Coturnix japonica: one gene and its partners. The protein of the gene in region 2 purifies or fractionates together with the protein of the main gene of each other region. This does not show direct contact. Links are inferred from orthologs where the notes say so. Each region holds a gene or a part of one and is shown on either strand. Other genes may lie near its edges. The genes, in order: STAU1, LRRC59 and YBX1.

Region 1 (7,582 bases), on a different chromosome or scaffold from region 2:
CAGAGGTTAACAACTACTTCACACATAAAGACAAACATTACTACAGATCACCCAACCCCTATGCAGTACTTGTGACACTGCTGGGACCTACAAGCTAAGAGTGACAGATAGATGAACAAACTCACATGTTACACATACCATTGTAAATCACATAACTCACTCATTTCCCACCTTTACATACTTATTTCTGCTAAATCAGACATCGGTATTTTAAATTTTATTGCCTGTCTCAATATTGTCCTCATGATAATCCTCAAATTTTCTTGTGTTTTTGTGTTTTTTTTTCCTGTATCATAACTATCAAAGTGCTGCACATAAAAGCCACAGGGTCACATAACAGACACTTCCTGGGGATCATCACACTTTACCACAACATGAGCTTTCTTTAATATAATGCAAGTAAAAAGTAAGAAACTCGAGCGTTTTAAGTAAGTTTCCTGTACCTTTAGAAGATCCAGTCAGGGGAGATTTGGATTTAGTTGTGAATAGGGTATTTATGACGGAGAATCCCTAGAAGAAAAAAGAGAGAGTTAGCACTTGGCTCCACAAAAGCCTACAGCAAACATCACAGAATGATTTCCCTCAGACAAAAAAACCAACCTTACTAGAAGCTTCCTAATCTTTTTTGGGGGCTAAATATGAAATCCATCATTTGCGTGGACTGTTCTAAATGGAAATCAAAACATTGTTTTATTCTGCTTAAAAATATAGCACAAAGTGTTTAATCCTTTTCCATGACTAAAGCCAACTGCACACAGGTGTCCAGTAGTACAGTAGCGTTACTACCAGCAGCACAGCAGGTAAGGCCCCAACCTTGATTAAGATTAGAAGAGAAACAGGATGCACGAGGTCTTCAATTTGCTTGAGTTGTTTTAAAACCCTACAATGAATCCTAGAGCTGTAACCAGTCATCAGCAGACCCTGCGAACAGAGGAGGATACAGAAAAAGGCAAATTCCAAGCCTGTTCTGTAAAAAGCAACCATCATCCTGAAGCAGAACAGCCTGAGAAGCAGCCCATGACTCCAAATCAGTGTTACTGAGCCCTCAGCTGGAGCACTGCATCCATACTACATGGGTACCACACCTTGAGACAAATATGGACCCGGTTAGCAATAAATAATAAAGCAGGGAAAGCAGGTGGCCCTCTGAGCTTTAGAGAAGTATATCCTATAAGAAACATGGATGGATTTGGGCTCACATATGCTGAAGAGGAGGGGTTGACAAGCTGGGGCTGACAACAGCAGCCCACAAGCACAACACAGCTCTTGGGGTGGAAAGGAATAATCTTTCTCCATGCCTGAAGTGACAGAGCAAGATGTGGCAGGCTTAAACATACATGGAGACAGAACTTTCTAATAGTAAGGACTGCAACGCACCATATCACTGTGGGTGATGGAGATGAACTGTTGGCAAACTTGAAGTAATTGACAAACACACACTTGGAATGAGGCCTCAGAGCTGCCACTGCAAACAGATGCAACACCAGCACCAGTCCTTCCCCATCATTGAGGGGCAGCAACTGCAGCTCAAAGATCAGGTTAGGAAAAAGAGGATCTCACAATGATGTACCACAGATGTGCTCCAAGCGCCGAGTGGCCAGCTGAGAACACAACAGAGACCGAGTTCCCAAAGAATATATTTTATTCACTGTCAGTAGCAGAAGATGTGAAGGTGTTCTGTTCTCTAGGACATGCACATCTGGAGTGCCACACGTAACCACATGCCATTAAGCCGCCTATCACAGCTTGCAGGCATATCTCATTAAAACCTTCTGTGCACCAATTCATGAGCTGCCAGCAGCAGACAGGGGCCTTTTAGGTACAAGAGCAGAGGGGAATGAGAAACTGATACCAGACAAACCCATCAGGACACAAATTACAGATTGAGATGAGCAGCTAAAAATTGTGTCATAGACAATAACCAAGAAAGAGTTTTGTTACAGAAAACAAGGATCTAAACAAAAAAACTCCTTCTGAAATGGGATGTTTCACAACACAAGGCACCTGAACAGCTGCTGCCCCTTCAGTTGCAGAGCAAAGGTGATTCATTTTCCTCATTACTGACAGGTTGTTCACCAAGCAGGACGGTTCCCTGAAATGCATCCACTCAACAGAGACCAAAAAAAGCCCAAGCCTGAACTCTACCAAGAGATGCAAGTACCCAGGTGGGATCCAGACAACCAAAACAATGACCCATGGGATACACAGCACTCACTGCCTCCCCCTCTGGCACTGCACTCTCTGACTGGGGCAGCCCAGCCCAGCACACACCTACGGTCACCTACAGCAGAGCAGCCACTGGTCCAGCCACGCTGCCACCCGTTGCTTCAGACTGAGGAAGGCTGCTGTGCATCCATCACTGCTGGGCAAAATACCCTTCAGAACAACTCCATTCCTCCAGCCTTTTCTAAAGGAACTTTAAATAACTCAGATATGGTGGCAGAACCTCCTTCTTTTGTTGCATACTCACTTGGGGGCAACACACATCTCCACAAATTCCAACAGGTTTGCTGAGATGGTTCATTTCCTAACATAGATCTCAAAAATGCACAGCAGTAGCTCTGTGTATATAGCATGAAATCCTAAAGCACTTGGCTTCTGTAACAGCATCAACAACACTTGGTCATTTACAACTGAACTGTAAATAAATACACTCTACCAATAAAGATAAACAATACTTCAAACTTTATAGACCCGAGGCTATTTACACAGCACGTAAAACACAGCTGAGCAGCGCCTTCATCTTCAACAAATCTTGTTCTATAGCATCTGGGTAGGACCATCTCAAAACCAGCACTCGTTGAAGAGAAAGCTGCTGTTCTTTCTAAGATAAAACTCCATAAGACACGAGAGTTCAGAAGCAATGGAACGGGTCATGAATTAGAGAAAGCTGATGAAGAGCTACGACTTGAAAGTAAAACCTGAAGGAGCAGAAGGGAGCTGACAGATGTGCACATAAACCAGACAGCTCCAAACAGTGCAAGAGAATCAACTAGAAGGTGATGAGGTGATCACCAACAAAGATGAACGCTCACTCACATGGCTGCTTCCAGCTGGGTGCTGCACTTCATATTTGCTTGCTGCTCCCAGAAGTACGACAGGTCAGAGAGCCACAGTTACTAATTACAGCTCACATGGTAACCACACACAGATCTGCTCCGTGGCTCCAGCCACATCTCCAAGAACTCTCACACAATAAGGAACCCCAGCAAGGATTCCAGACAGCACAATGTTAAACACTTGTGAAAGTTCGTGTTGTCCTCAGAACAAATCACTGCTGAAAGAGTCTACTTAAAGTAATCACAAAGAATTGTTATCTCACCTGCTCTGGTGGTTGGCAACCCTGCACACAGCAGGGGGGGGTGAAACTAAATGATCATTGTGGTCCTTTTGAACCCAGGCCGTCCTATGATTCTGTGATAAAACACTTCAGAGCAGCTTTGAAATGAAATTCTGAGCCAATATCAGAAAAAGGTACGTGCAGAAACAATTGTAACTATTTAATCCTAAAGCTTTCACCAGGATGTGATGGTCATCTGCTTAAGTTATGACAGCTACCACCTCCAGAGCAGTCTGAGCACACAGATTTGTTGCTTGGTACCACGATATCTCATTGCAAGATGATAAATGGACAAATCAGGGACGCTCTGCTCCATCACAGCCATCGCTGTGTCGTCAAAACTCACTGTGAAAAGGTTTTTAGAAAGTAATGATCTGTCAGCATGGACGGAGCAGCTGCGCACTGAGGTCGTGTGTCATCGGTAGGATTTAAGAACTTCTTTAAATATACTGCCCTAAAAGCAGGCAGGGGCCTTCCATGCAGGTATCTCATTTCACTGCTATTGATACACCTCGCTGCCTATCAATTCCCAATGACGTTCTTCCAGGTTTGCCTTTAACCTGTCAGAAAATGGACCCAAAAAAAACCACCCCAAAATACAGATCGACGAGAAGCGGCTGTCACTGCTCCCAGCGACAGCACCACCCCACACAGAGCACAAACGGGGCAGAGAGCAATAAGGATGCGACAAGAACTTGTTGCTACCACGGCTCCTGAGAAACTACGTGACGAGAGCAAGGAACGGGGAAACATCATCACTGCAACCGACCGGGACCGGGGGGCAGCCATAGGAGAGCACGGGGCCCGCGGGCAGCAAAGCAGCACTGCCCACCGCCTCCAAGGGGTGAGCGCCGCGATGTCCGCGGGGTGAAGGCTGCGGGCTGCTGTGCTGACACCAACCGGAGGGGTCGGGCGGCTCCTGAGGAGCAGCACCCCGAGAGCCCCCGGCTCACACAGCCCCGCTCCGAGGGCGGTCACCATCGTCCGCACACGCTGAAACGGGACAGGGCCGGGCCGAGGGCAGGCGCCGTTCCGCCCGCTGTCACCTCCCGGTGGGTGCTACCGGGATCCCCCCGTTGTTATCGGCGGGCAGGGCAGGGGCCGCTCCCGTTGCGGCTCTTTGGGGCGGCCCCCCCCGCCACCTGCCCGTTCCCCCCTCAGCTGGGCAGGGCCCGGAGCGGGGCGGGGGGACAGCGGAGCCGGGCCCCTCCCCAGGGCCTCGCTAGGCCCCGCCGCCACCCCCCGCCCCGCTACCGGGGGGAGCCCGGGCCGCCTCCCCCTCACCTGGCTGCCTGGGCTGCGGCTCCCGGGCCGGCTGCGGGGCGGGCCAGCGGGCGGCTCAGTCCATGGGCCGGGTCCCGGGGGGGGCCGGGGGGCGACGGCGGAGGGAGCGGCGGGTACAGGGCAAACACTAAAGAGAATGAGCGGGGCCAGCTCCGGCCGGGGAGGAAGTGACGCCACCGAGGCGGGAGGCGGGGGAGGCGGGCAGCCAATCGGAAGCGCTCAAAGCCCCAAAGGAAACGCCCCTTTCCGCGCTTTCGGCCAATGGGAGCGCGGGACGACGGGAGCACCGCCTCCTTTAGGGCGACTACAAGTCCCGGCGTGCCTCGCGGCACAGCTGCAGGTCGGCTGTGTGTGTGGGACTACAACTCCCAGCGTGCACCGCGGGCACAGCTCAACCGGGACTGCAACCACCAGAGCAGGGTCAGGCCTATATGGCAGGAAGGGACACTGCGAGCACTGAGTGATTTAGGAATATTTTATCGTTCTTAATGGTTAAAAACACAATTTAAATCACGAGTTTATGGTTAAAAACACAATTTAAATCACAAGGTTAAACCCTGTGGTGTCACTAAGTGACATGATGGTAATTTCTGCCATTTCCAGAGCAATACAAACCTGACAGATGGACCTTCAGTCCACTGTAAGCACAACAGCCTCCATGTTCAGTGCTGAGAATCACAAGTACCCACTGAGCTGAAACAAACCACAACCCAAGAACGGATCTAAAGCTTCATATCCATGGGTGTATTTAATACCGCTATGGATTCCAAAGATACCGGAAAGAAAACCTGTGATACACATAACATCAATTGACAACGTAGCAGTTACAAACCATTCTCCATTTATACAGACACATATATCCCGTATCACATTCAAACACCTGCTTGGATGTTCTTGAGGTCTGCTGCATCATCTGTGCTGTTAGATCCCATTCAAGCAACAGTTAAACTTCAGAAGGAAGTGAAATTGTGTAACTGTTACTGTAAAGGCTGAATGTTGTCTGTTACATTAACAGCTTTTTGTGCAGCGAGTTGGGGGAAGAGAGAGAAATACAAAACTATTTCACTGCAAGTTCAGTTTTATTTCCATTCTTAGTGCAGCAGCTTTGGGTCAGGATAGAGGCCTGTTTGCAGCTCACAACTTGTGAGAGTTGGAAGGAAATAAAAGGGATGTGAATTTCTCTTCACAGCTTTTGGAAATGAAAACGCAGTTAAGCTCAATATCCCACGGAGTTGTGCCAAACCCCCTCCATTTTGCTTATCTGGCTCTTCGCTTCCTATTAATTACTTCATAATAACGTATTTACTTCTAATCTCATCTTGAATACAAAACATTAAGTCCAGTATAAGCTTTGACCTCACGTGGCTCATTACTCTGAGAGAAAACTGGGTAAGCAACTCCTGTATTATCTGACTGTGACCTCTACCTTTTGTGGGTGATACTAAACTGGTTTAAAGCCGTTATATCTGCTATTGCCTATCCTTACAGCCACATTTCCTCTAAGTCACAGTAAGGCAGTAATTACTTCATTTAAGTGAATAGGGGGAGGAGGCTAAGGGAAAATAAAGCATTTATTCCATTGCATTTTGTTCTTCTCTGCTTTAATTTTTTTTCTTTGGCTCCTCTGACAGCTCAAATCTGGATGGCCATTGACAGCTTTACAGGAAGGATGTTCGCATTGAAAGGTCACAGAACAAGTGCAGAAGTACTTCAACAATCAAAGAAGTACGGCTTGGTGGAAGGTACCTTCAAGTAGGGCTGAGAGCCTAAAGAAAACTACTTTCTGAAAGCAGAAGTCAGTTGTGAGAAGGAACGTGCTCTGGACTCATCAGGTAATTCTTAGAATGGAACATCTGGCTGGTTGGAAGGATGACTTTTACTTCAGCACATGTTTAAGTGAAGAAAAAAGGAAATAGAACTTTGTAGGTTCTGCTGCCATTGCTGGATTCATCCTGGTCCATTCAGAACCCATGCAAAAAGATGATGTAGTAGTCTGGAGGGCTGTGGGATTTTTGTTGTTATAAAGAATAAGGTGTTTGGTATTAACAGATGACACAGTATTTACAAACTGAGAACCAGAAGTCAGTAGGATTTAAATAGTCCAGGACAGCAGATTAGTTCTGTGGCATCAAGGGATGCAAAACAATGTCCTTTCACCAATTCTGTATTCAAAAAGAAGTGATAATTTTTCCCTTGAATACATGTAATACCACTATCAGTTACAAGGGAGAACTGGTGACAGCTCCACGATGTGCAGGACTCGTCTGAAATCCAAGTAGATGCTCATAGATCCTCAGAAGATCCACAGACAGCAGTTGTTCCCAGCCCAAGCTTTCTGAGGGAACTCGTATTTGTCCAACTGTGTAATAAATAACACACTGAAGGGCGGCTCAGAGAAGTTCATCAGTCTTCTGAAAACTGTTATTGCCCTGCTTGTCAGTTTCCATTAAAATCAACAGATAAAGCTCTGTGGAACATTGTGTTGCTTCCTAAATCTTGAGGACAGGAGATGTCAGAAGTAGCAATAATGTTTCCACCTGAATAAAGGTGAGGGTTCTGCTATTAACCTTTCCTTGTATGCTGAAGAAGAGATGATCTTTGTGCCTGCACTACACTTGAAAATGTCATTTCCCTGAAAGGTTAAATGTTGTAAATAAACACTTGTATGCCTTCTGGAACCTGCAGAGTAATCAGGACTAAACAACATATCATTAACAGTGCCATGGCCACAATGCCTAAGGCAGTCAACTCTGAATCTTCTGATGAACAGCTATACACTAGCATTCGTTGATCTGAAGGCACTTAATCATACATGATGTCTGTCCAACAAGTGAAAAACACACCTTGCAGGAAGTGCAATATGGTGAATGTGAAGATAAATTGTTATTCTAACGAGAGTTTCCTTGGCTGCTTCTCAGAAAGGTTCTGGCTTGCTGCAGTCCATCTCAACGAGTTCTC
Region 2 (7,457 bases):
AATGTAATTGGTCCTGGAGTAGGCCTACATATAATACTCCCATACAGCCATGTCATCAGTTTTAGCACTAATAGAAACGAGAGCGAGAAATGGATATGTATTAAAAAAACTCATACCTCCATTACTGAGCTACAACTACCTAGGTAACTGAAAGTCTTTTTTCCCCACTCCTATAAATTGACATCTTTCTGTGTCTTCAGATCTAAGTGTAAGTCCCTTGGAGGTGAGTGGTATTAAGTTAATCTAGGCAGATGATGGGAGTGACAGGCCAACTGAGAAACATGCACAGCAACGATGATCCAAACAATAACTCTATGCGGAGTGGACCAGCAAATTAATGCTGACGGATAAAAAGCAGTTTCATCAGAACACAATTCCATAGGAATTCTGGCTGCGTGGATGGTGAAAGGAGATGCTGACAAAGCAAGTGCCCATCCAGGACGATCACTGCTGTGAGTTCTGCTGTAGCATGTTCTGCAGGGTTTTGTGGTTTTGCACGGCAGCAACTACGTCTTCATACAGAGTGTTCACACTGACACACAGTGGTTGGTGTTGCAGCTCTGTCAATTTGCAGACAGCCAAAGTGCAGAGGATGCAGAGCAGCACCAGCAGCAACACCCTGAGCACCGACCGTGACCACGAGTGCTTGTGCCGGGCTGGCTGAGGTGGGCGAGAACTGGAGGCAGGCTCTGCAAAAAGAATGTTTGCAAGGCAGAATGTGAGGAATTATTCAGATATCCTTAACAGTCTATGCGATGCTCCAGCATCATGCTTTTTAGCCTGTGCTATGCTCACGTTTTCTCAAAAAACTCATTACTTAAGGTGAAAAGCATGAGACTTGCTTTCATGGGAAGAACTGAGAAAGGAGTAGAGCATCCGTGTGCTGCACAAGATCTGTTTTTAAACCATAGTTCAGTACATCTAAGATTAAATGAGTGGAAAGGAAGCTCATAGGAACACTCAGAACTTCATGAAATGTAATCTGGCAGTTCCCCCACTCCTGGTCTCACTCAGTACCTGAGCTGCATGAATGCAAGTCTGGCATTATCAAAGCTATAATGCAGGTTAAGCATAATGCAGTTCTGTGCCAGTGGTCTTGTTCACTCTTTTCCACAATGCAGACATTAAAATACACTTTACCTGAACTCCCTGTGGAGTTCTTACTTACTTCGGGTCTGCGCAGTCTCCTTTTTAGTTTTCTTTTCCACCTCCTGTTTTGCAGCTCTCTGAGCATCGTATTCCCGTCGTCTGCGTTCCTTTTCTTCTGCCTTCTCTCTCTTCCTCAGTTCCCTCTCCTGAGCCTCCCTGGCTCGCTGTTCTGCTTCACGCTTCTTTTCCATTTCTGGGGATTAATGGCAGTAGGGTTGAAATTACATGATTTTTAAGGTAGCTTCCAACCTAGGCCATCCTATGATTCTGGCAGGAAGGCAAGAGCCAGCATAGTGTCCCAGGTTGTCTTTCTCCACCCAGCCATTCTACCCTGCTCAGAATTCCGATAGTTACAGCTATTTGCCTGCTGGCAATCATTTCTATGGGCAGAATTCAGCAGTGTGCACGTGAGGACTTCGTGCTTACCTCGCTCTGCTTGGAGCTTTCGTTGCCTTTCTTGATCCTGCTCGGACTGGATCACTTTCATGTGCTGCAGTACCTTCAAGGTCCAAGAGAACAAGTTGAGATGTCTGCACAAGGCTCACGGTGGGGGGAGTTCAGAGCGGAATGGCTGCAGCGTATCTGAAGGATCAGAGGATCTGACCATTGATCTGCTCTGATGGCCGCAGCTGACTGAGCCCTGCAGGGATGACTTGAAGGGAAGTCTTGCTACATGAATCTTTGCAGTTAAGAAACAGAGGTCTCTGCTTTAAAATGATATGGAAAACTGGTGCTATCGGTTACAGAGGATCATGGAACAGCTTGTTTCATCAGACTGAACTATTTCACGGGAGCATGGCAAGGCAGTAACAGAAGTACATATTTTAACTATTTTTACTCCACGAATCCCAGCAACAGCTATTTACATGACCCTATGGCTTCCCATAATATTTCTATGAAGATTTTTATACTGTAGAGTATAACAAAGCCTATACACAAGTTATTTTGTCTGATTGTGCCTTCAGTTCCTCAGCAAAGCAGCATTTAGTCCTCTTAATTCTACTAAGGGAGGAAAGTCCCGCTCAGCTCAGTTGTTTTCTCTGTAGCCATGGATGCAGTAAAATCAGTGCAGAGAACTGGCACCTCACTGGCTGAAGGAACTTTAGAGCTTGCTCAGTAAAGAGAGGAAGAAACATCGCCACCAAAGACAAGAAACAAGAGTAAAAGAGCAGGCAGGTTCCTTACCCTGACCGCTGCCTGCTTGCACTGCTTCTCATCCAGGCAGTCTCCGGCTACTTTAGCTAGAACAGGATCCAGGGGATTGTCCTTCAGATCCAGCCACTTCAGGTTCTGCAGGAAGGGACGCGGAGGACAGGCTGTCAGAGCACACTGCAGGCAGCTGACCACAAACAGCACGACAGACTCGTGGCTATTTAAGACATTCAAAGCAGAAGCAGTCACTCGGTTTTCCCAAGGATGATGAAATGGGCACAGAGGACAAGCAGCGAGCTCGGTGCTCTCAATAGATGGGAGAGAATTTCCACCGGGCTGCGGTGCAGAGACGGCTGGATTTTGGACTAGCAGTCAGCAGGATGGATGGATGCTTCACCAGAGAAATCAACTCGAGCAGGATCACAAGACCCTGGGCTGCATCCCAAAGCTTTACGTAACCGCCCGGCTGACGGCTTTACCTTGAGCTGTGCGAAGCTGACGGGCAGCGTGACCAAGCGGTTGTTGAGCAGGTCCAGGTGCTGCAGACTGACCAGGCGCCCAAAGTCCACGGGCAGCTGCTGGAGCCGATTTTTACTCAAATCCAGTTTCACCAGGTGCGTCAAACTGCAGAAATCTGACTGAAACAAGCACAAAGCAGGGAAAGCATCTCAGCATCGGCCTGCGGGGATGTGCTGGAGGGTCTGCACCTGATACAGGCCACAGATCCTCAGCTTCCCACACAGCTGGGGTGGGGGAGAACCCCCCGCTCCCTTTGCCTCAGGAAAGTGATGTAGATGGCGGTGAGCAGCAATACAGCTGAAACAACTGGATTTCTGCGGCTGCTGGACCCGCTCTGTGTTCACACCGGGTCTTTGGCAGGAGGGCTCTGCACTCTCTGCTCAGTGCTGCTGATGTTTGCCTCGTTACCTGCCCTGCTTTGGCAGCAGCCCCCAGCTCACACTGAGCCAAGGGCTGCAGGAGCACTAAGGAGCCCTGCCCGGTATTTCCTACCAGCCCTGCTCCACCGTCACAGGGCGGTCGGGCATCTTACCGGCAAGGAAACCAGGCTGTTACAGGACAGATCCAGCACGGTCGCTTTTGGAAGCGCAGCCTGAAAGGGAGAGAAGTACGGGATGAGCGCAGGGATGCGGTGCAGGCACAGAGAGCTTCTGGAAGGTGCTACTTTTGTATCGGCCCTTCCGCGGAGCTACACTGTATCCCGACGGGCCGGCAGCCGGGACTGTGTCTTTATTTAAAGAGAAAAGCCGCAGTTATTGGCACGGACGGGCAGCGCTGACAAACAGACCCGGCACCATCTGCTGCCCAGCCCCGCACAGCGGGTCACGGCGCTGCTGCCCCGCAGCCGGCATCGCCCCGCACGCTCACCAGCTCCCTGACCGGCACCTCGCTCAGCCCGCACAGACTCAGGTCCAGCTCGTTGCCGTCCAACTTGTCCCTCAGGCTGCTCGCCCTGCCGCCGCCCCGCGCCATGGCCGCCCCGCCAGCCACTTCCGCGTCCACGTCCGCACCGCGGAGCTGCACAGCGCCCCCTGCCGGCCCGGAGCGCCGCCACCGGACGGACACCGAACTCGGCTCTCGGGAGCTGCAGCTGGACCGAGGCGTTCCGCTCTGCGAGGAGGAATTCTGCATCTTCTCCTCTGATCCAAAAGCTCCGCCAGCAAAGTGCTCTGTTGTTCTTGTCCCGGGTGACCCACGGCCAGAAAAGTCGGTGGAAGAGTTTTTCCTGAGATAGAACCAAATCAGAGCTCCCCAGTAACGGGATTATGGTGAGGACAAGCTTTGAGTTTCTGAGCCCAAACACGCATTGTGACATATGTGCACTTACTTGTTCAGAGGGCAGATCTGTGCTGGGGACAGGAGGTCTTACACCTCTTTGTTGTTTGTTTGTTTTTATCACGGACACTGATTTTTGTTTTCCTCTGGTTGCAATCAGCATTTCATGATGAGGTTGTGCTGTGAGCATATTTTATAGCTTTGATTTCTGAGATTCTCTGCAGCCAGTGTTGATGCCCTTGTTCATAAGATCTGTTGTGCATCTCCCATTGCTGAACTCTGGTGCCCATCTGGGCAGAGGGGTTGCAAAATGAACTGCTAGTGATCGTCCTGCAGGTCAGTGGCTGGGTGAGAATCAGGCCACCTCTCAGCCCACTGCTGGTGGCACCGCCTGGTTAATGGCCGTGTGATGTTTGAGACACAGGTTACCTTCTGGTACCACATTTATACCCCGGCTCCCAGCAGTGCCCAGAGTCCATCAGTCATTTGCTACAAGGAATGCCATGCACGCCAGCCCTTCTGCGCCTGTGTCAGTGCTGCCGTGTGCTGCAGGGCTCCTCTGGGTGCTGCCTCCCCCTTCCCTTGGCGTGCCCAGCTCTGCATCTCCTCACTGCTCTGTTTGCATGTGGTGGGGCACAGACAGCCAGGGAGTGCTGAAAGCTGTTAGTGAAGTGGTAACTGTGATAACTCATGTGAATAAGGCTTGAAATCAATTAATGACTCATAGAGCTCTGACAGATGCAGAAAACCAGAAGCAAGCAGCGCTGGTTGCCTTGTCAATTTCAGTCCTTGTAGCAAAGTCCGTGTCAGCCAAGGCACTGGGTTTGCTTGTAGGGTTCAGGGCGGCTGCAGCGTAGTGCTTGAGGCTGGGATTGAGCAGAGGGACATTGCTGCAGGGCAGGGAGCTGGGAAGGGAAGCGAGCAGGGCGGCGGGGTTCAGTGCTGTCAGCAGCGAGCCAGTGGCCGGGAAGGAAAGGAGGGATCCCGGGAAGCCACGGCCGTGCCCTGGGACACGCAGCATCCCCGTCCCCCATTGCTCTAATGGGATACCTCACGCAGAGAAGATTCTTTGCAACCTGCTCTACCTGGCAGTGGTGGGGGGCGGTGAGTAGGGGTCCCAGCTCCCACCCCCACTCCTTCCTCCGGGGCCGGGGTGTTGCGGGGCGAGGCCGGCCAAGCCAAGCCCTGCCCTCCCCGGGGCCAGGCGAGGCCAAACCGGGGCTGAGGAGGCCGGGCCGAACCGTGCCACGCACCGCCCCCACCGGAGCCGCGTACGGAGCGGAGCGGGAAGGTGGCCCGGCCCCCCCGGTTCTGCCATCACCGCACACATGGCTCCAGCCGCGCTGCTCGCAGCTCTGCCCCGCCGCGGGCTGCTCCTCCTGCGTGCGCGGTACGGACGGGGCTGGGAGGTGGGGGGGAGGGGGGGAGCTACCGGGGGCCGGGTGCAAGGTGAGGGGGATGGAGGGGACGGGGGGACTGCGGGGCCGTGCAGAGGCTGTTGGGCAGGGCGGTGCGGGGCCGGCGGGGCCGTGGCTCCGAGCTCTGCAGCTGGTCGGCTCTTGCTTTTGTTTAACGCTGCCTTTTGAAACGAGCTCCTGGGAAAAACGGCGACGGGAAAGCAATTGGCTTCGGAGATGCTTGGAAGGATTAGTTGAAATTCTGCCTCTAATCCTACCCGGAGGCGCGACTTCTAAGAAGTAGCAGGGTTCGCATGCAGGTAATTCTTTTCAGCTGCGCTGTGATGGGGAGGTACCGTCTCAACATCTGTTCTAAAGAGGATCAGGAGGGCAGCAGCACAGAACGCTGATTGCAGGTTGGACTCCAGCCCAGCGTTCCGGGTGAAGCTGGGTGGCAGGAACCGTGACTCGCACCGAGTATTGAGAATAAACTTTCTAGTAACGTGAAGACGCCTGAAATTCTGCTCTTAGCACTGAGCGGTACTTGTGCTTTGGGCAGAACCAGCGCAGGAGGGAAAGGCTCACACGGGACAGCACAGCCGGTCTGCTGGAATTGAAACCCGAGCACTCTGTGAACACTCACCATCCCTCTGACTAAAGTCAACAAACACAAAGTAATCAAACGGTGATTAACCTCGCAGCCAACTGCGCTGCGTTAAAGAGCAAAGAAGAGGTGAAGGCAGCGCCGAGCAGTGCCGGCTCACCACTCTCCTTGCAGTTGCTTTATACAAAAGACCCAGAACTCGTTGCTCTGGGAAGGTGGCCGTGTCAGATCTGCACGAATGAGGAGCTGCACGTGGCGGCCCGGAGCTTCCCCAGGTCCGAGCTCTGCAGTTGGGTCGGTTCCGATCCACGTGCGCGGTGCAGTGAGCTCACACCGCCCTGAGTGGTGATTCCTGCAGAGATGGGAAAAGATGAGAAATGAATCTGGTTATCTTATGTCAGCGGCTGTAAAACCTTGGCTAGGGTTAATCACACGCAGCTCCTGGGGCTGATCCAGACTGCTTTATAAGGTTTGATGGGTGCCTGCTGGGTGGGAGCGCTTTCTGGGCCGGCTGTGATCCGTCTGCTGGGTTGGGATCTGTGTGTTAAGGAGTGAGGATGAGGCCCCGGAGCTTTTCTGTGCGGGGGAATTTCTGGGACTCGCATGAAGAGCTTTTCAGCTCCTTCTCATATTGAAAACCAGCCCTCATACATGGGCTGTGGGGATCTGACCCCTGTGAGGTTCCCCCCCCCCCTCAGGGCCCCCACAGGCCTGGGAGGAATCGGGCAGTTCTGTTCTGCCCGCTGTGGGTGTCTCACCTTCACTGGCAGCAGTGCAGGGCTGTGCATGCAGCTCAGGAGGGCAGGAAATCACATGGATCACACTGTATCAGCTGGAGGGTCTGGATTTCAATTGAACATTCTCCACTTTTCTTTCTGCTTTTTGTTTTGTCTGCCCCGTGCTGAGGGAACATGTGAGACCAAATGTGTTTTTCTACCCGGTTGGTAACGGTTCCTTTGGGTTGTGTCCCAGGAGGGTCGCGGTCTATGAAAGCCTTGAGCAGCTCCCAGCACAGCACAGCTCAGAGCCTGCTGCGCTCCAGGTGACCCCGGTGAAAGTGCTCTTGCACAAGCAGGTCGGCTTTGCTCGCTGACCCCCAGGCTCACCTGACCCCGGCTGACCGAGGGAGCTCACTTGTTTCTCTGCGCAGCTGGTGGGGAAATGTGGAGCGTCACCATAGAGATGAGCTCTGCTTCCACTGGAACTGGAGGTGCCCTGGCTATAGGGAGGTGTGAGCATTGCAGTCTCCAGTGATACCCTGCAGTTTGTGGTTTCCTGCTCTGACAGTGCGAGGTATGGAAGGGGCTTTGCTAAAACTGCTCCACAGCAACATGCTGACAGCTCACCATTTCCAGAGTGAA
Region 3 (7,429 bases), on a different chromosome or scaffold from region 2:
CCTGCTGGCGTGGGGAAGCCTTTCATATCTGCAGTGCTTCAAATACTGTTTGATGAAGTGACAGCATGGAATGCGATCACTCCTGGTGTTTGTAGGCTTTTGGAGATGGGGGCAGCTTTCTCAATAGGCTTCTTGCTGATAGAAAGAGCTGTGCTGGTGGGCTGGGTCCCCTTTAGGACTGTCCTTAGGCCCAGACCTGTTGGTCATTTTTCTTTGGAGCCTTTATGTGTGATCTCGGGTCAAAATCCAGCTGAATATCTTCGGTTCTAGGCATCTGCATTCTTCCTAGCCACACCTTAGGGAACATCTTTCTTCACACTGCTGCCTTTCAGCTGCCTCTTGACAGGAACGGGGTCCCTCCCCCCCAATTTCAGACAGTTAAATGAGTTATTTGTAAAGATCCTTTCAAATCAGCTCAGAGAAACTGGCAGTTTTGGTTATAAACCCAAAGCCAGTCGCAGGTGTCTGGACTGGAGACAGGTTTGACACGAGCTGGTGCAGCAGGTAGCGCACACTTCAGCACCCTGTGCTGCTGTTGTGGGATGCTGAAGGTGGCTGCTGAGCATCTGGGACTGTTTGTTCTCCTCTGTTTCAGTGCTCCGTTATGGGTGGACAGGCCTTTCCCAGCTCCACGCAGCTCCAGCCAGTATCCCCACTGTCCCGGTCCTCCTCACAGATGTGCTCCTGAAATAACTAAATAATTGGAATATATCTTCTTTTTTTTTTAAAGTATTGAAATGTAAATAAAGGATTTTGTTTAATATGTGCGTAGTGGATATCAGTAAACATGTTTGGGAGTGGATTCTTTAGGCAAAAAGGCCTGCTGCTTTCATTGTGCATTGCCCCGAGCTGATTCAGCAGAGAATGTTTCCCTTGTGTGGTGGTGAGAGACATTGCTTCAGGGCATTTGCTAAGGGGAAAGCAGAGATGAAAGGAACACACCTGAGCTGTGCTGCACCAGCGCTGCCTGTGGGGCTGCCCTGGCAGAGAAGTTCTGGGGGTTGTCCTGAATCTTTCTACATGTCACTTTATTGAAGCACAGGACAGGATCAAGGCATGATGGGCAGGGTTTTCTGGGCTCTGGGGTGAGTTTAGTTCTGCTGTTAGTCCTCTGGGCCAAAAGGCATCAGGTTCCTTTAAGCCACTGGTGTTAGAGGAATTAACATGGGTGTTAGAACGGTGTTAGTAGAAGGCATTTTGTCCAGCAAGCAGAGAATGAGCAAGCTGTAGAATTCAGGACTCAGAGTCATTACAGAGAACAGAGTTGAGGCTGAAGGTTTGTGGTAAACCTCTCATTGTCAGACTGGGATTGCAGGCTTGTCTGCTGGGCAGCTTGAAGTCACCCTTTGTGGGTGCTGGGCACCAAGGTGAGTTTCCCCTGCAGCACTCTCAGTCTGTGCTGTCACGTGCAGCTGTTTTGTCCCATCCCAACCTGCTCCTGGCTCAGCTCGATGCTCCATGAGCTTTGCCTGAGGTGCAGAGTGTGGGGCTGTCTGAGGGTGGTGTGGGCTGACGCTAATGTGTGATCCTTGTGGGCATGCTTTGGTGTCATCTTCTATCTAACAGCTGTTTAAAATCTACAGGACAGGCTGTGAGACTGCACAGCTGCTGAGAACACTTGCACTTGATTCTCTCCTGCTCAGCGTGTCTCACTTGTACATGCAGTACACTGGGTGATGAAGGAAACATAGCATCCCCATAGCACCCCCATGGCACCCCATAGCATCCCCACAGCATTGCCATAGCACCCCATAGCATCCCTGTAGCGTCCCATAGCACCCCATAGCATCCCTGTAGCGTCCCATAGCACCCCACGGCATCCCATAGCATCACCATAGCACCCCATAGTATCCCATAGTATCCCATAGTATCCCATAGTATCCCATTGTATCCCATAGTATCCCATAGTATCCCATAGTATCCCATAGTATCCCATTCTGGCTTTGCACGGCCAAGGTTTCTCCTAGGAGCCAAGGGCTGAACATTCCCCCACGGAGGATAAAGCTGGGCCCTGTTCCCATCTGTGGGTTATTGGTGAGCAGAAAAGGAGACGTTTGTGCTGATGGGACGCACCCAGATGCCACTTTGCCATATAAAGCACATATATCTGCTCCGTTTGACACCCGATGCATTGAGTATCACCCTCCCAGCTGTGATATTAAACCGGAGCCGGTTTAACCGCCCGTTCCCCATTGCAGTCACAGCCCGGGGGTGTCTCTGGGAAGCGGCTCATTAAACCCGGCTTTGAGCAGCGCTCAGAGCTGCGGCCTGGCTGTGAAACGGCCCAATTACAGGCGTGTGCCTCGAGGACACACCGTGCTGTAATGACGGCGGCTCCTGCTCCACATCCGGGCCGTCCCCGCGGCCCGTTGGCTCGTGTTACCGTCGGTCCGTTACGGACACACCGGGCACAACGGCCGGACCCGCAGCGCCGCGACCTCGGCCCCCTCAGAGCCGGCGACCAATCAGAGCTGGGAGGCGGGGAGAAAGAGTAGGCGGGAGGAAAAAGAAGCCCAGCAACCGCCGGCTGCGCGACCAATGGGAACGCGGGGATGAGGAAAGGCAGGCGGCGCGGCCAATGGGCTTTCAGGGAATGGCTAACGCCGGGAGGGGAAAGGCGCACGGGATTGGTTCGCAGAATGACGGGCGGGGCGAGCGGCCAATAGCGTCGCGCGCGGGCGGGGCGCGCGGGGTGGCTAGCCGGTGCGGGCCGCCATTGTGGCCAGTTCGATCGGTATCGGGAGCGGAGAGCGGAGCTCAGCGAGCCCGGAGCAGGGAGCAGCCCCCCCACGGCCGGCCTCAGTCACCATCACACCGCGGGAGGCGGCGCAAACAGCCAGTCACCACCACCGTCCGCACCGAACAGCCGCCGCCATGAGCAGCGAGGCCGAGACCCAGCCGCCCGCCGCCCCCGTCCCCGCGGCGGCTCCCGCAGCCAACAACGCCGAGTCCAAACCCAACGGCGGCAGCGGGAACGGGAGCGGCGGGCTGGGATCGGCGGCACCTCCCGCCGGCGGGGACAAGAAGGTCATCGGTGAGGGACGGGGGCAGCGGGGGGCGGGGGGGCCGTTCCCCACACAGCCTCCATCTCCTCACATCCACCCCCTCCATCTCCATTCCATCCCCTCCATCCCCCCCCCCTCACATCCCGTTGGCCGTTGATGCGCGCGCCCGCTCCCCTTTCCCGCCCCGTTCTCCCCCCCGCGCGCGCGCCGCTCTCCGCCGGGCCCCGCGTGTCGGGTGGGGGCGGGGCGTTGCGGCTCAAGATGTCCGCCACGCGGGGCCTTTGTGTGCGCCGCCCCGCCACGTGCCGCGCATGACGCCGCGCTCTGCTCGTCCTCCTTCACCCCCCCCCTCCCCTCTCTCTCTCTCTGCCAGCAACGAAGGTTTTGGGAACAGTGAAATGGTTCAACGTACGGAACGGTTACGGCTTCATCAACAGGTGAGCGGGGCGGCGGTGGGGGTGGGGGGGCGCGTGGGGGGTGGCGTGGCCTGCGGTATAAGGCCTTAACTGCTTCCCGGCGCGGTGCTGCGGGCTGTCAGTACGTTGTTTAAAGCTCGGTGTGAAGTTGAGGCTGTGAGGAGTCAGAGGGATTGATGAGCTTCAGTGAGAGTCATGAGCTGGGAAGGAGCAGCTGTGGGCATCAGCGCAGGCTGCTGAGGGGATATCTGCAGTGAGGGACCTGGTGGCCAATAGGGTGACTATAAACCAGGAAGGTTGTGTCTATAAACCAGGAAGGTCAGCAGCACCCCACAGTGTTGTTAGCAAGGTGAGGGAGGTTCTCCTCTCTGCTCTGCCATGGGGAGGCCACATCCAGAGCACTGGGCCTGGTGCTGGGCTGCCCAGTTGAAGGCAGGCAGGGAACTGCTGGCAGAGCACAGTGGAGGGCTGGAATGAGATCAGGGCCTGGAGTGTCTCCTGTATGAGGAAAGGCTGAGAGGGGATCTTAGCACTGCTTCTAAGGAACTAAAGTGCAGGAGTCAAGTCTGTGGGGGCAGACTGTTGTTGGTGGTGTGCAGCACAGAGCAAGAGGCAGGGAGTAGAAGCTGGAACACAGGAAGTTCCATAATAGCACAAGGAAGAACTTTACTGTCAATAGTGGAGCAGTCAGCCCAGAGTCGTGCTTACTTATCTACAGATGTTAAAGACCAAAGGATAATCACCTCTGTGACCTGTGCTGGGGAACACACCTTAGCAGGAGGTTGGGCTTGATCTCTAGAGATCCCTTCTGACCCATACAGTTCTGTGATTATGTGATGTCTAGGCCTTGAGAAACGTGCTGTCAGGCTGTTTTCTCTGCCAGCAGCTGATCTAGAGAACGGTTCTTCCCTCAGTCACTTTGGAGTGCCTGCAGGTGGTGGTGGTTCTGCAGAGCCCTGTTTTTCTATGTGGTGTTGTCATGGAACAGCCCTGGAGGATGTTCCTCTGCCGGGTACCTGGGATGCAGGAGGCCCCAGGGCAGCTCTGTTTCCTGCTGGAGTTCACTGCTGCTTCTCTCGTTTGTGACAGCACGTGGCTCTGAGGAGCAGGAAAGTGCTGTGAGCTCCATCAAGTTACCACGGTGAAGAAAGATACATGGAATGGGAGCTGGTGACTTCAAATCTGCTGTCACAGGGGTTGACAGGAGGAGGCTGGGGAATCCTCCTCCAGGGAAGCAAGTGTTGGTACTGATGTTTTCAGGAAAATTTGGCCTAAATGTCATCTTTTCATCTACCTGTTATACTGTGGCCTGGTCTTCATCCTCTGAGCTCTGACTGGTGAGCAGCTCTAAAGCCTGGCCCAGTGGTGTTTGAGTGTCAGGTGTCAAACAGCTGTTAGAGGAGCCCAGCAGCATCCCCTGCTCCTGGAGGTGCGTGCACAGCTCCAGCTCACTAACAGCCTCTGGGAGGGTTTTTTCCTGTTCCACTCATAGCTGCTACATGAGTCAAGTGTGGAAGCAGGAGCAGCTAGTTAAGACATCTGAATGGCTTCCCCGCTCATATTATATTGGCATCTGTTTAATCCCTGAGGATGCTGTTCCTAATGAGAAACACAGCGTGAGCTCCTGTTATCAAGAGATGAGAACTGAGCTGGAGCACATTTCCCCTGCTCCCAAATAGCTCAGGCTCACCACAAGGGAAGCCGCAGGAGCTTTGTTTGGGTCTGCTCGCAGCTCACGTTGGCTTTGGTTGTAGCCTGTTGTTGTATATTAATATTAAGTACGTCTATTATTCCCTTCTGAAATATTAGCTTGGATTCTGTCAGCTGTCAATGAAACAACTGAATGTGCTGGCTGTTGAGCTGCTCTTGTTGCCATAATTGGGGCTGCACACTGATAACTGGCTTTGTATTGACAGCTTTGCTGTGTTTTCTTAATCACCGCTTGCTCTTCTGATTTTTATTACTATTTTTAGTAAGAGGTTAAAGATACTAAGAGCATCGATGAGCTGAGTGCCTCACAATGGGCAGCTCCTGTTGTGCTTCCTGTCTTATTTACAGATGGTTATTCCCACACCATCCGTGTGGCAGCTCATGTGCTGCTCCTCGATGGGCTTAGTGCAGAAATCCCATGGCAGACACTGGGTTTTAGAATTAACCAGGAGGGTTCTGAACAAATCACATCTCCACCTTAATCTGCTTCAGTGTAACTGAGTCGTTTACTGAGCCAGAGCTCCAGCATGATCTTCAATGGGAAATGTGATGTAGAAAGGGCTCTAAATGAAATGAGGAGCAGCTGATGTGCTTGGAGGAATGGGGTTTGGGAGGAGTGCAGAGCATCCACACTTGAAGAGCTCTGCATTTGTTGGGAGCACAGTGAGCACTGACTGAATGCAGGCGCTGGGCTTCCCTCAAGGCCCTCAGCTGGAACATCTATGATCTCATGTTGTGTTTGTAAGAGTTTTAGGCTTTTTAAGAGCTTCTGGGTGCTGCCTGGTGGGGCTGGGGCTGAGCTGATCACCTTCTGTAGCCCTTTGGATGAACTGTTTTCCGTCAGCTCTGAGGTCAGTAGTTCTTGCAGGCGTCAGTTCCATAAGGAAATGGGTGTGTGGTGCTGGTACTGTGTGACGGGGCAGCTGTAACTTGGATCGAGTTGTTCACAGTATTGTTATTGCCGTGTGTTAAAGGCACGGGGAGGAGTGACTGGCTTTAAATGAGTCCAGTTCTGAGCACTGCAGCACTAGCTGTGCCTATAACATGTATTCTAGGAAATAAAAGGCATTCAGCAGTTGATTCATTGGGCTGTGGAATGACTTGAAGTGACACTGCAGCAAGGCTCAGCTGGTGTGATGTGAGCCTGAGGGCTCACAGCTTGTGAGCGGTGAGCACAGCTCCGGGGCTGTGCTGTGTAACTGTGGAGCAGGAAGCTCCCTGTGCCCTGCTTGTCTGTTAGCCACGCTGCTGCCCTCATAGAGCATTCATCACTGCAGGAAATGGAGCTGGGGACGCAGGCTGTGTGTGCTGCTTTTCATAGCCTGTGATGTCACATCTTCCACTGTGCTATCCCAACTGATGGGCTGTCAGGTGTTTTTCCTCCGAGCCTGTTGGTGGGATATGTGGGGAGGGAGGAAAACACTCAGCACCTCACACAGGTCCCCAACAAGGTCTTTCTTTGAGGCAGCCTCCCCTTAGAGCAGGCTGAGCAGTGCAGAGCTGACAGCTACTTGTCCCGGTGCTCCCCTGCTTTCCCCTCACCCCTAAACAACTGAATTTGAAGCTGGGCCCTCACGCAGCTTGTCTCACATCTGAATTTCTCTTTGGTGCTGTCTTGCAGGAATGACACCAAGGAAGATGTGTTTGTCCATCAGGTAAGATGGGCTGGGAACTGAAACGTGTTACCTCTTTGATACGCGCTGTGCATGACCTCAGCCAAATGGGTTGGAGGGGACAAGGGTTTCCTGTCTCCCTAAAATCACTGCTTACGTGCTGAAACTTGTGACATCTCTTATGATGGATTTTATTCCATTTAGGGAACAAATGGACCCACGTTATGTTGCTGGCATTAATTTGTTACTGGCATTAAACTTGTTAAAAAGTTTGCTGAGTAGAACGTGGCTGAGAATGGTGCTTATAGAGCACGTGCTCAGCTGTCAGAAATGCAGTATGCTGCTGAACAGCACAGGAAATAACCCCAAATAACTATTTTAGTCAATGCATACACCTGATAGGAATGTACAGAGTGCTTAGAGAGAAACTTCTGATGCAGCTTGCATTGTTTGGGGGCTATTTTGTATCTCTGACTGGAATCGTATGGGCAGATAGTCCTGGAACAGCTGTAAGGCTGCACAGTGCTCTGGGTAGGTCAGAGCAGTAATAAAGCACACACTGGCTTTGAGTTCCCATTGTGGCTTAATGACTTGTCCAGGAGGATGTCTTAATAAATAGATTCAGTCCCCCCAAAACACCAACACAAACTTGAGATGCACTGAGTAGCGTTTTCCTGTTGTGAAT

Evidence for each region.
Region 1: the proteins of LRRC59 (region 2) and STAU1 purify together in Homo sapiens (affinity purification with mass spectrometry; 3 studies listed by BioGRID). This does not show direct contact. The link is inferred for Coturnix japonica from reciprocal best matches to the Homo sapiens genes LRRC59 and STAU1.
Region 3: the proteins of LRRC59 (region 2) and YBX1 purify together in Homo sapiens (co-immunoprecipitation; 3 studies listed by BioGRID and IntAct, with this or other methods). This does not show direct contact. The link is inferred for Coturnix japonica from reciprocal best matches to the Homo sapiens genes LRRC59 and YBX1.

Annotation. Positions count from the first base shown.
Region 1 is NC_029535.1:5,662,862-5,670,443, reverse strand, and holds the start of STAU1 (double-stranded RNA-binding protein Staufen homolog 1), read right to left. Parts: upstream 4,784-7,582; 5' UTR 4,625-4,783; intron 511-4,624; 5' UTR 444-510; intron 1-443. UniProt on the Homo sapiens protein: Binds double-stranded RNA (regardless of the sequence) and tubulin.
Region 2 is NC_029533.1:9,091,889-9,099,345, reverse strand, and holds the start of LRRC59 (leucine-rich repeat-containing protein 59), read right to left. Parts: upstream 3,966-7,457; 5' UTR 3,952-3,965; coding exon 3,688-3,951; intron 3,413-3,687; coding exon 3,353-3,412; intron 2,940-3,352; coding exon 2,781-2,939; intron 2,440-2,780; coding exon 2,335-2,439; intron 1,649-2,334; coding exon 1,576-1,648; intron 1,343-1,575; coding exon 1,169-1,342; intron 690-1,168; coding exon 445-689; 3' UTR 1-444. Other genes in the region: ACSF2 (medium-chain acyl-CoA ligase ACSF2, mitochondrial), read left to right, coding at 5,424-5,485.
Region 3 is NC_029536.1:5,557,881-5,565,309, reverse strand, and holds the start of YBX1 (Y-box-binding protein 1), read left to right. Parts: upstream 1-2,698; 5' UTR 2,699-2,874; coding exon 2,875-3,034; intron 3,035-3,378; coding exon 3,379-3,442; intron 3,443-6,752; coding exon 6,753-6,786; intron 6,787-7,429. UniProt on the Homo sapiens protein: DNA- and RNA-binding protein involved in various processes, such as translational repression, RNA stabilization, mRNA splicing, DNA repair and transcription regulation.